3 linked regions of the Notamacropus eugenii genome follow. The protein of the gene in region 2 binds, or shares a complex with, the protein of the main gene of each other region. Links are inferred from orthologs where the notes say so. Each region holds a gene or a part of one and is shown on either strand. Other genes may lie near its edges.

Region 1 (4,091 bases), on a different chromosome or scaffold from region 2:
GGCAGTGAGCAGCACAGAAAGAGCCCGCGTCTACCACCCCTCCCTCCAACCTCTTCTCTAGTAAATCAGATAGTGAATCAGAGGGGGTAAAGCAAAACTCTGGCAAAGCTGGAACAAGACAAACTTACACAGTACCTACATTTACAAAGTCTCCTCCTTGGATCATGAAATCTTTTATAACCCTAAAAACAGGACAGACAAAGATATCAGAAAGGAGAAAGTGACTCATGACACACAGGAAGGTGTCCCTGGAAGCCCCAAACCTTACCTGTGAAAAGTGCTTCCCTTGTATCCGATAGGGACTCCATCTTTCCTACAACCAAGGAGAAAGATGAGAAATGGAGGGACCACAGGCAATCCCAGGCCCCTCTGTAAAGCACCCCTGAGGTGGAGAAAGACCCCTCCCCAAATTGCCTCTGGAGAAGTAGGAAGATAGGGTGATTGACTAAAAGAGAAGAGTGACAGAGAAGAAGTGCGCCTGCATCCCTGATCCCAGCAGCTTCCCTAGGCCTTGATGGAAGCTTCCCAAGGGTACTGACTCCAGCTTTGGGCAGGTGGCTCCCACCCAAGCCATGCCTAAGGGAAATAAGCAATTTCTAGACTAACCTGAATTCTCCTGTGCAGAACTGCCTGAAAGAAAGAAAAATATTATCTGCCAAACCATACATACTGAGAAATGATAGAAAAGAGAAACCTTGACCTAGGGGTTGGGTAAGGGAGATACCCCAGCCATCTGTAAACAGAGGTTCCCACATGCTCATACACATACAGGGAAGTGTGTGTGCGTCTGTGTGTGTGTGCACGCGCGCACGTACAACCTGACACTGTTTACAGGCCACCATATACACAGAGATGACAGAAACAAAATAATCACAAACATTAGAGACAGGTACACAACAATAGGGATTCTGCTCTTCCCTCCCTACCCCCAGATACTGGGAACAGTAAGACAGGCAGACAAGCAGACAGATGATCTCCCCCACCTCAAGAACAAAACAAAACAAAAAACACCACCTTCGAGGAAAATGGAAAGAAGTAGGAGTGAAGGGTGTTTGGTATAAAGTGGTCTCAAGTTATGTTACACAAAGCAGTGTAACCATCAAAACTACGTGGTGCTAAAAAATATAAAAAATTAGAATGATGAATAATCTTAGCTAGCAAAACCTAGAATCAGATCAGCACAGCATCCAATGTTTGACAAGCCCAAGGTACACAAATTACTGGACTCTTTATTTGATAGGAAACACTGAGAAAACAGGATAGCAGTCTGGTAGGAAAGATCATTGGTTCTCAAGTCAGAAGACCTGTGTTCAAATTCTGTCTCAGACACTTATTACCAAAGGCACAAAACCTCCGTGGAGATAAGGCACATCTGCAAAATGAGGGGGTGGGAACATATGGTCCCAGAAGTTTCTTTCAAGTCAAAAACATGATTCTAAAAAACAATCTAAATATAAAATGTTGCCCCAAAAAAGAAATTAGAGGGCCATGGAAGGTCATCTTCCACAATGTGGATTAAAGAATCAATCTTTAATCAACCAGCTGCAATAAAACAAGACATACAATTTCAACTATAAAATTAAAAATATAAAACTATATATATTTTATTTTTATTTTATATAAGACAAATATAAAATTATATTAAAATACTATATTTTTTTATATTTATATAAAATAAAACATACAATTTCAACTATAAAACAAAAATAATGCAACTAGAAAAAAAGGAAAAGATATGAATGAGAAAAATATTTTCATTAAACCTATCTTATGAGAATCTAACATCCAAAATCTATAGAGAATTACTGCAAACCTCCTAATATTAAGTCATCAAGACTCTGGAATCATAATCTTAAGGGAAATCTCTAAGATTATGAAGTCACATACCTATGACTCCAAGAGACTTGCGATCATGGGATAAAAATAAGTAGATGGAAAGATAGCACTGATTAAATGCTTACTATGTGCCAGTTTTCAAAGATATATGTCATCAACACATCATCTGAAAAACTGCCCCAAATTACTAAGGATCAAAAGAATGCAGAGGAAGACAAAAGAGAGACGGATAACAATGGGCAAATATGGAAAAATATAAGGATGGAATAAAACCGTGAGTTGACCCAACTTATTTGGAATTATGCAAGAAAGGCTGTTACCCTTTGACCCAGAAACCCCACTACTGGGCTTATGCTCTAAAGTAGGATACGGGCAAAACAAATCAGACTGTAGGGAAGAAAGATGCTACAGACGGACGGACGGACGCTGGCACAGACACGTGGGCTAAGTCTCCTTCCCTCCCCCACCTCCCCACGCCCTCGGGGACGGGGGTGGGGGGGCAATTCCCGGACCTGAAATTCTCCGCGGTCTTGGGCACGATGTCCGCAAAGAGTTCAATCTTCATTCGGCCAACTTCCTGCAGGGCGGGGCAGTGCCAGGGCGTGTCGGTGACGTCATCTCATCATGTCCCTCCCGTTATTCCCCGTCCCATGGTCCCCCCACCTCCATATTTGGTTCTGCCAATGCATTCTGCCCAGGCTCCAGGGTCTAGGTCCCGGTCAGTCTGACCCATCCTGGATTCTGACCCTTCTCTTTGTTCCTTGTCCCGCTCGCTACCCCCCATTTCCGAGCCGTTTGGTCCCGCCCGCTCTCCCCCCATCCTAGAGTCTTTTGGTCCAGCCCATGGTCCCGCCCATTCCCCCCCATCTTCCGGACACATGGATCCCGCCCACTTTTCAGACTTCACCCCCTTCGCCATGTGGTTCGCGGGGTTCCACTGCTCCCCCCGTGCTCCCGGAGCAGCGGGCAGCAGTCGCCTTCAGCCCTTTCCCCAGTCATCCTGCACTGCCTGGATCCATGCCCGTCCCACCTGGCCACCGATGCTAACGTCGAAGAAGACGATGGGGTTGACGGGGCTTGAATTTGCCACGGCCATGATCCTGACACGGAAGCGGAAGCCGGCCGGCGGGGCTCCCGAGGTCGCTGAGTCGGTCCGGCAGCGGCGCAGACGTGCTGGAGCCTGAACGCCGGGCTCCGCCCCCTAGGCCGAGGTCGGGCTGGGCCTGGCGTCTGCGGGAAGGGGCGGAGCTACGGAGGCCCGGTGGGCCAGTGGCCACGGGGACCCAGGAGCTAGGACAGCCAAACGCTGTACACGTGTCTCCCATTTCCTTTGTGATGGTCCGAACCGCTACTGCCATCTTGGTTTTTTCCTCCGTCCCACCCTCACACATATGCTTTCTCAAACCTTAAAATAAACTCATAAAACATTTATTACCAGACCACTGTGTGCAGTGCACACGACCACCCCTTAAAATGAAGCCCCTGGCATGTGCCTGCGGCTGTGGGCGGCGGCACTGGAGGTTTGCCGGCGTCTCCTGTTTGGAGGCCATTGAAATAACAACAGAGATGCTGAGTTTGGTTGTGTATCACGTGGGTAGGTGCATTAGAGGGGCCTGGAGCCACAGTTCTTACCAGGATCCGGGGACCCTGTGTACAAGAGGCTTACAACCCCCGTTTTGCTCTCATATGATCTCTTGGTAACCTCATTTCACATTTCAGTTATGTATGCAGATGATCCACAGTTCTATACTGAAGAAGCATGCTATGTATCTTAAGATCTATCACATATATTGACGGGGGATGTCTCAATGTATAGATAAGGAGAGACAGGACCATGGATAGCTCTGGGATCTTGCATATATGCCTCTTCAAGAGAGACCATTCCTTTCTCTTAGAGGAGAGCAAGAGAAGGGGCCAGGAAGTTGGCTGCATTGTTCTTCCCTGAGACAGAGGCAATTAATAAATGCATATTGACTGACTGAGAGATACTGCAATAGAATTTATCTATATGTCCCACTAAATATTATTGGTCTGGAGCCCTATTTTTTAGGCTCCAAAGTATGAGACAGCGAAAGTTAAGTTTTCACAATAAGTTATTGTTAATTGATGAAGTCATTGAGAATAAGTTAGATAATAAGAAGGCCAGCGGACTGCAGGTGGACTCAGCCAATGAAAAGACCAACAGTGGCCTTCAGAAAATTACAAAGTTTTTGACAATGGAACCAAATCTACAGCTAGCTGGAACTAACCAAGAA
Region 2 (4,091 bases):
CCCAAGGTCATGCAGCTACCAAGTGTCTGAGGCCAGATTTGAACTCAGGAAGATGAGTTTTCCTCACTTCAGGCCTGGCACTCTATGCACTGTGCCACCTAGCAGCAGCCACCCTGCATATATATATATACATATATACACAAACAAATACACACATATATATGCATGCATGTATGTATGGAGATATATATACGTATATATATCTACATCTATTTACAGTTATATATATTTGTGTTAGTGTTTCTTATTAACACTATGGAAGACTTGAAAGAAAAACCATGTTTACAAAAGTGAGATATGACATTAGTCAATTTCATCTCAATAATTTATCATCATCATTATAACAACATCTGCAAACACAACTTCTTGACACTAAATGATTATTCCTACCACAGCCTCCAGAAATCTGTGCCAAAAGTTTACCACCCAACAACACAGTGATATCCCAGATTAATATTATTGCTGTCGGCAAAACAGAACACTGAGAAACAGTACTCTGGTTTAGACAACACAAGTCTAAGGTTTTATTTTCAAATGGAGGAAAATATCAATTCAGAGGAAAATATCAATTAGCTCATACATGAATACCAAAGAGCACAAAACAATATTAAAGACACTAATTTCAAGATTATAGCATGCTCTATGTAGGTGCATTTAACACATGTCTCAGAAAATTTAAAATATAGGTACTAAAAACCAAATTTAAGCATATATAGAGTAGAGCTTCTAGGATACTGAAGGAGAATTTCGCCTCTAAAAATAAGGCATAACACTCCTGGAATATCCACTGAAAATTTAGACTGGCTATTTTAGGCTAATGTTTTCTTCTAAGTCAAATTAACTAATTTTCACAACTGTAGCTGTTAACAGTCACAAAAATAGGCTAATGCTGAAAGTAGCAAAAAGCAGAAGGCAGTAAGACCCTTAAATCAAGAAAGCATGAATCAAAAACACTCACTGATTATTCTCTGTGCAGGAAGCCTGTGCTACAGATGCTTTTTTATTTACCATTTATTATCATTCTGATTCATTTCAATCTTGAATGATGGGGTAAGTAAATCTTGAAAAATCTTGAAAAATACCTTAAGTATCTAACCTTATGTATTGGTATACTAAGAAGCAAATCAATTCAAAATTTTGGATGAAAATATGAAATGTGGCTTTTAATCCTAAATCATATACATAATTCATTTCCTCAGTTCAAGGCAAAAAAGAGTATAACCTAATTAATGATTTCAATTACAAGTCATAGCAGTGTGCAAGAATGGAAAGAGAACAGAGAATTAGGAGTTCTAGGTTCAAGTCCTGCCTCCATCCCCATATAGCCATATGACCCTTTATAGTCACTTTACCTCTCTGGGTCTCCATTTTTTCATCTGTAATATGAAGATAATACTTGTTCTGCCTATTTCATGGGCTGTTAGGAGGATCAAAGGAGAAAAAGGACATCAAAGGGCTTTGTAAACAAACAAACATGAGGGATCATGGCATTAAAAGTACTACTCAAATAAGGTTTACCTTTTCTGCAATACTATATAAAACTTCATCCATTTTCATACAAGTAGGGTCCCAATCATGTCCAAACCTAATAACAACAACTCGGTCCTCTTCTGAAAGAATCGCTTGATCCACCTGCCAACCATTGTGCAAATGTGGAAGCATGTACGACATCCTGAACAGTCAGTCTGAGTCCTGTGGAGGAGAATTCACTTATCAGAAAGCATGCTTTCTTATCGTGCATCCCATTGCTTCTAACATTAAGAAATAATCCTGGCAACGGCAGACGATTAACACTTCAACACAGACTAGGGAGAATCGAAACACTCCCCAAGGCCCCTCACCGTCCCAACCGCGCCTACAACTCTACCGCTACAAGCTATACTCCTCCACACGCCAAGGAAGACCCTCCTCCTCCTCCTTCCACTCGAGGCCCACAGTCTAAGAAGCCCCTACAGAAGACTAAAAGGCAAACCAACTCAACATTTTGGGTCTTCATGGAAGACGCTGGCTTTTAATACCAGGTCATCCACTTTCCTCATTTCCTTAATTCAAGGGAAAACATAAACGTTTAAGAATCGAATTAAGGAGCTCAATGATGGGTGGCAGCAGCGTACAGTAACGGGGAAAGCAAGGGAAAACGAGGGGCTGCGAGTCCCACTCTGGCCCGCGCCCCTCCGTGTCCGCGGGGTCCTGCACAAGTCGTTTTACTTCTCTGCACTCAAGGCCTTGGCAGCCTCGGACTGACCTCCGGGGGGTCGCTAATTCATTCACACCACGGGGGAGGTCGCTCCCACTGCAGCTTTTCTGAGTCTGCCCTGCTGTCTAAGGGGGGCCGCGGCCGTGCACCCCGGCGCTAAGGACAAGGGCTGCGGCGGCATCCGTCACCGACCTCGGCCACGCGAGACCTCAGGGGCCGGCGGCGGACAACACGCTCCCGTCCGGGCCGCCAAACCGAGGCCGCGCGTGCCCAGAGGGCTACACCGGAGCCGAGCCTCGGAGAGCGAGGCGAAGCGAGAGAAGAAAAGGGCTCACAGCCGCAGCGGGGCCGGGTCCTGACGAAAGGAGGTGACGCACAAACCTGCCGGCAAAGAGAGAAGATCCAGCTCCGGGAACCGCCGGTGGAACCGCTGGCCCGACGTCTTCTCCGCCCCTAACGCGTCACACGTATGTGCGTAAGAGCGCAGAGCGTGCGCGCCCCCGGCCCAGTTGGGGGAACGCGCTCCCTGTAGGGCGCGCGCGCGCGTGCTTAGACCCGGGCGGATCGCTCTGCAGCTCCATCTCCAGCCTTATCTGAGCTAGCGTGGTTGCGCCGGTTCCTATCTATCCAAAGGGACAGAATGATGGATCAAATCCTCTAGGAGCTTACCTTTCATTAACGCTGTAAGGTTTGCAGAGCACTTCCCCCCCATATCAATCACGTCCCCCGCTGAATGAACAAGCGCCTACTTTGTGACCCTGCGCCAAGGACTGGGACGGTAGATCAGCAGTCCTTCAGGAGCTCCATTTCTACAGGGCAAGTCAGCGGTCAGATGCCTCTACACACGCCTTAGGTGCAGTGTAAAAGGAAGCAACCTCAGGGGGAAGGCCCTGCCAGCCGGAAAGAGAGAGGTGACCTCTGAGAATCCGAGGGGGCGCAAGCGAGGAGCGAGACCCCGGATCGATCAGAGCGCTACCTCCAGCGTCTTAGTGATCTTCTCAGCAACCGTGGTCCAACAGTGAGGCCCATAATGAAAGTATCACCCTCATTTTACAGAGGAGAACGTTTGGGGGTAGGTCAGCGGAGCAAGACGCGAATGACTGTCACTGACATGTAGAAAGAAGAGCTGGGTGAGGAGTGTGGGAAACAAATCAGGAGACTGGCGTAGGGAAGGGATGAGGACCGCGACAGGGGACTTCACTTATCCAGACATCCAGTTAATCAATAACCATTTACTAAGTGCCTACTGTGTGCCCAGCACTGTGCTAGGTGCAAAGGATAAAGCAAAAAGCAAAAGACAGTCCCTACCCTCAAAGAGCTCGAAGTCTGATGGGGAAGACAACATGCAAATACATACAAGCTATATACAGAATGAATAGGAGGTAATTATAGGAAAGGCTTCCTGTGAAAGGTGTGGTTTTGGTTGTAACTGGAAGGAAGCCGGGAAGCCAAAAGATAGAGAGAAGAGGAGGTAGAGCATTCCAGCGCACAGAGACAGCCAGAGAAAATGCCCAGCTGAAAAACTGAGCATCTTCTTTGTAGGAGAGCAAAAAGATCGGTGTCGTTGGGTCAAAGTGATGTGGGAGTCGGAGGGTGTTAAGTGTAAGAACTAAGTAAGAAGACTGGAAGGTAGATGGGGAGGTCTGTGTTTTGAACAGCTTTGAATGCCAAACCAAGGATTTTATATTTCATGAGGGAAGTGGGATGAGACACTGTTGTTCATTGAGTGCATGGGTGACATGGTTGGACAGTTCCACTGGTTAGAACTTTCTCTCTCTCTCTCCCTCCCTCCTTCCTTCCCTCCCTCCCTCCCTCCCTCTCTTTCTCTCTCTGTCTGTCTCTCTCTGTCTTTCTCTGTCTCTCTGTCTCTCGATGACAAAAGCAGAGCAGCTAA
Region 3 (4,091 bases), on a different chromosome or scaffold from region 2:
ACATTGTGTGAAGCCTAATTCTAAATGATTTAGCTTTTCTCAGCAATGAGAACAAAGACAACTGCAAAAGACTCACGATGGACGTTCTCTTTTTGTTTTTTCCTTCTTTCTCATGGTTTCTTCTTTTGGTTCTAACTCTTCCTTACAACATGAATAATGTGAAAATGTTTAATATGAAATGTATATGTATAGCCTATATCAGACTGCATGCTGTCTTGGGGTAGAGGAGAGGGAGGGGGAGAAAATTTAGAACTCAAAATCTTATGGAAGTGAATACTGAAAACTAAAAGTGAATGAATGAAGAGAGGAAGAAATGAGGGTCCTGAAACAGATGTCCTCCAAGGTCCTTTCAGCTTTGTGTAAAAGATAGCTAGGTGCTAGATTTAGGAGTCGAAAACAGATGGGTTCAAATTCTACCTCTGATAATAGCTTTGTGATCATGACCAAGTGACAAAATCACTTTTAGCCCCAGTTTCCTTAGCTGCAAAATGGAAATAATAGTATTTGCAGAGACAGGATGATGGAGTAAGTGCATAGAGAGTTGGCTTCAGAGTCATGGAGATAAGGATTGTTGCCAGCCTTCTGTAGTGGCTGTGTAACACTGGACAAATCACTTAACCTGAGTCCTCAGACAAAAAAAAACTACAGAGCATGCCAGTTCTGCAAGGTTGAGGAAGTCTCTTTACTCTGGGTTCCCTTTACCAAGAAATCATAGAACCGGTTAAAAAAAAACAACCCCCCCAAATTTTGTAGAAATAATAAGGCCTAACAAGGTGACTGACTAAATAAGATGCTATGTGTAAAACCTTTGAAAATCTATATGAAAATCAACTTAAAAAAAAAATTTGTGACTTGAAATTTCTTTGATATAGACAAGTAATTCCCTGTGAGAAACGTCCTCTCTACCAATGCTGATGAGTAATCTAGGAAATTAAGTGACTTGGCCAGGGATACACCAAAACTTGGATACCAGTTTTCCTGAGGATGGCTCTCTATCCACTCTCCTACCATAAAATGCAGTCTCTACTACAATCATCAAAAATATTATCACATCCTATAATGTTTGACTAGTTAAGGTTAGGTCTGAATTCTACTATTCCTTTTTCTTCACCTCAAATGTGATGTAGGTTTGAGTAATGCACTTTAACTACTAACAAAATCCAAGTGTTGTAATTTTCCAAAGAGATCTTAAAAATCTTTATGTTAAGTACTAATTTCAGACAAGGGAATATTTAAATCTTGAAAGGGATTCCACACCAAATCAGTCTCTCTAGATTTTCAGTTCCAGTCAACAATATCTGTTTCATTAAACTTTTTGTATCTGTGGTCCTTTGGATGGCTAAACACACAGGAAAGCGGGCTGGATCTGAGTCAAAATACTAATAATATACAATGTAACAAATATGTTACAGGTATAACGCACTGACGTCCAAGAGCATTTAGAGTTGTATTAATGCACTGTGTTGGTAATATGAGCCATTCTCCAATGTTAGGAAAAGTGCTTCACAAACCTTCAGTGATGGTACAGTGCTAGCTATTATTCCCATTCTCCTTCTGGTCCCCACAAACTCTCTCTTGTCACTAAGGATCACTGTCCAAACCCACATGCAGAATGACTGCACGCCAACCACCTGTATCGTACACACACATTCCGCTCTCCGGGTCTCCCCAGGGGGTGGGGAAATCACTTCGCTTCTGATGATGCACTTGGAAGACTCCTAACGGTTCTGTAACTAACAGTTCAGACAAACAGAGGAGCTCACCAAACAGTCCCTGGAGAACACCCCCAAAGCGCGATCCTCACAAACGCCCAACCCCAAGCTCCCCCAGACAAGGAGTGGCCACAGATCCGTAATAAAAACTTAACTCCAGGCCTTTCAATAGAAACTAGGACCCAAAACCACCTCCAGAATTGGACCAGAACAGAAAAGCCAGACCACACCCCTTACCCACCTAAAGAAGTGGGCTCGAATCAAGGAACCAGAACTGCCGGCCGGGACCCCGCCGACGGAGGCGGGGCAGCTCACGGGGACCAAGGGGGCAGCTTTCTGGGCCGAAAGCGTGCTCCAGCACAGCCGCGCCGGGGCCGGCACCGGGGGGGCAGGCACCCAGGGGGGGCAGCTACGAGAGGAGCAGGCACCTGGGGGGCAGCTCCGAGGGGGGCCGCCCCGAGTCACGTCGGCCCCCCATCTCCTAGGCCTCCCCAAGGGCTGGGTGGGGGTCACTGGCTCCGTTCGACTCTAACCCGATCCCCGGACCTACTGACGCGGAGGGAAGGGCGTCCCCGAGGGACGGTTCTCATCCCAAACGGAACACGCTGCGGCCTGTCCCGGGTGGACGCGGCCTGTCCAGGAGGATCCGGGCGCTAGCCGGGCCTCTGGCTCGGGGGGGGGGGGGGGGTGTCTTCAGGAGCCCACCATGTTCCCTGCTTCGTGACAGGAGGGAGACGGGCGGGGCAAAGGGGGCTTAGCTTCGTGGGGTCCCTTCTCGGAATGACCGTGACGTCAGAAAGTCAAACGTCTACGATTTCGAAGGAAATCCTAAAAACGGCCACAGTTAGCAAAAGTGACATTTTTTTCCAAAACGAGCTCAGGAGCCCCGGGGAGCAGCTTTCGACTCCGAACCCGAGCCCCCCGGGACCGCGTCGGCCTGGCCGGCCGGGCCTCGGCTCCCAGCTCGCCCGTTCCGGCTCCGGGGCCGGCCTGCGGCCTTCCTTCCCACGCCGGGGCTGACAAGGCCTCCGGCCGCCCCACGGGGTCGCTTTTCACAGACTGCCGGGGGTCACGGGGGGTGCATTGGACTTTGGGAGGAGGGGTCCGCCGACTCGGAGGACCCAGGAGCGCCCAGCCGGGAGGCCCCGAGAGGCCCCCGGAAACGTTCGGGTCACCCCGGAGAGTTCTCCCCGGAAGGCGCCGCCGCCCCCTGCCCCATGGGTCCCTCAGACCTCGCGGGCAAAGCCCAGCACGCTCCCGGCCCCGCCGCAGCTCACCTCTAAGCTCCTCCGGCCGACGCCAGCCGCGGCCTCGCCTCCGCCTCCCGCCAAGAGCGCGCGCGCTCCCGCTCCGGAGCGGCCTGGGAGCGCGCGCCTCCGCCGGACCAATCGCGGCGCTCCCGGGCTACGGTCAGCCCGCAGGGACAAAATACTGCGGTCTGAGTGTACCTAGTGCTCTTCGGGAGAGCTTGACTCCCGCTCCTCCCCCCGCTGTTGTAACTGTGGTGGAGCGGCCAGGGGCGGGGCGAAGGCCTGAGGGGCGTGGCCAGAGCGACGAGGGCGTGGCCAAGACCAGCTAGGGGCGGGTTTAAGGTAGGGGAGAGTGCCTGTGAAACACCTAAGTGCAGCTCAGAGGACCCAGAGGGCAGAGGCTGTGGGTGTGGATAATCACGGATTTAGAGTCCTTTGGGATAATAAAACCGTGCGAGAGTTGGAAGTTACTGGGCCAGGGGGAGGGGGGCGGGGTTAAGGCAGCATTCAGTCTCAAGTTTTATCCGCTCACTCACCTAAGATGCCTAGCCCAGAAGGCAGTTGAGGGAGAGGAGGAGGGAGAAGCAAGGGGGGGAGGAGGGAGAAGCAAGGGAGAGGTCAGAGGAGGGAGAAGGAGGGGATACAGAAAGAGGAGATAAAAGAAAGGGGGATAGAGAAAAAAGACTGAAGAATGAAAAGGTAGAAGAAGGGGTAAATACATAGAGGGGAGAAAGAAGGAAAAGGAACCAAGGAGAAAAAATGGAGAAAAAGCGAAAAGCATGGAATGCATGCATAGGGTGCCCACCCACCCACATTGTAATGGTGTCTGTTCTCTCCTGTCTCTGGACTGACACCCTGCAACCTTTACACTAAGTTCTCAGAGAAGAACCACGAAGATGTTGGTTGGTTACATGGACAAGGTTTGGGGTTGCTGGGAATCCCGACATTTCAAGGTTCAGAGTGGTATCTGCCTGGAAAGAATTCATGCATTCAAACCTTCTTCCAGTCAGGTGACAAGGTTTATTGTAACACCAATAGGAGTGGGGGAGATTCTTAGGGAATCTGTACTTTCATGGGGGTGAGATTTACGCTTATATACAAAAAAAAAAAAAGGGACAATGAAAAGATA

Evidence for each region. The genes of interacting proteins can lie anywhere in the genome.
Region 1: TXNL4A (region 2) and PPIH share a complex: the UniProt entries of both Homo sapiens proteins name them as parts of the U4/U6-U5 tri-snRNP complex. The link is inferred for Notamacropus eugenii from reciprocal best matches to the Homo sapiens genes TXNL4A and PPIH.
Region 3: TXNL4A (region 2) and LSM6 share a complex: the UniProt entries of both Homo sapiens proteins name them as parts of the precatalytic spliceosome. The link is inferred for Notamacropus eugenii from reciprocal best matches to the Homo sapiens genes TXNL4A and LSM6.

What each region holds. Positions count from the first base shown.
Region 1 is NC_092876.1:74,540,724-74,544,814, forward strand, and holds the start of PPIH (peptidyl-prolyl cis-trans isomerase H), read right to left. Parts: upstream 3,061-4,091; 5' UTR 2,933-3,060; coding exon 2,867-2,932; intron 2,414-2,866; coding exon 2,349-2,413; intron 631-2,348; coding exon 607-630; intron 314-606; coding exon 269-313; intron 183-268; coding exon 140-182; intron 1-139. UniProt on the Homo sapiens protein: PPIase that catalyzes the cis-trans isomerization of proline imidic peptide bonds in oligopeptides and may therefore assist protein folding. Participates in pre-mRNA splicing.
Region 2 is NC_092875.1:200,534,503-200,538,593, reverse strand, and holds the start of TXNL4A (thioredoxin-like protein 4A), read right to left. Parts: upstream 3,105-4,091; 5' UTR 2,867-3,104; intron 2,722-2,866; exon of another isoform or gene 2,246-2,721; intron 1,693-2,245; 5' UTR 1,672-1,692; coding exon 1,519-1,671; intron 1,418-1,518; exon of another isoform or gene 1,377-1,417; coding exon of another isoform or gene 1,353-1,376; intron 1-1,352. UniProt on the Homo sapiens protein: Plays a role in pre-mRNA splicing as component of the U5 snRNP and U4/U6-U5 tri-snRNP complexes that are involved in spliceosome assembly, and as component of the precatalytic spliceosome (spliceosome B complex).
Region 3 is NC_092877.1:143,189,104-143,193,194, reverse strand, and holds the start of LSM6 (U6 snRNA-associated Sm-like protein LSm6), read right to left. Parts: upstream 3,114-4,091; 5' UTR 2,990-3,113; intron 2,184-2,989; exon of another isoform or gene 1,954-2,183; intron 1-1,953. UniProt on the Homo sapiens protein: Plays a role in pre-mRNA splicing as component of the U4/U6-U5 tri-snRNP complex that is involved in spliceosome assembly, and as component of the precatalytic spliceosome (spliceosome B complex).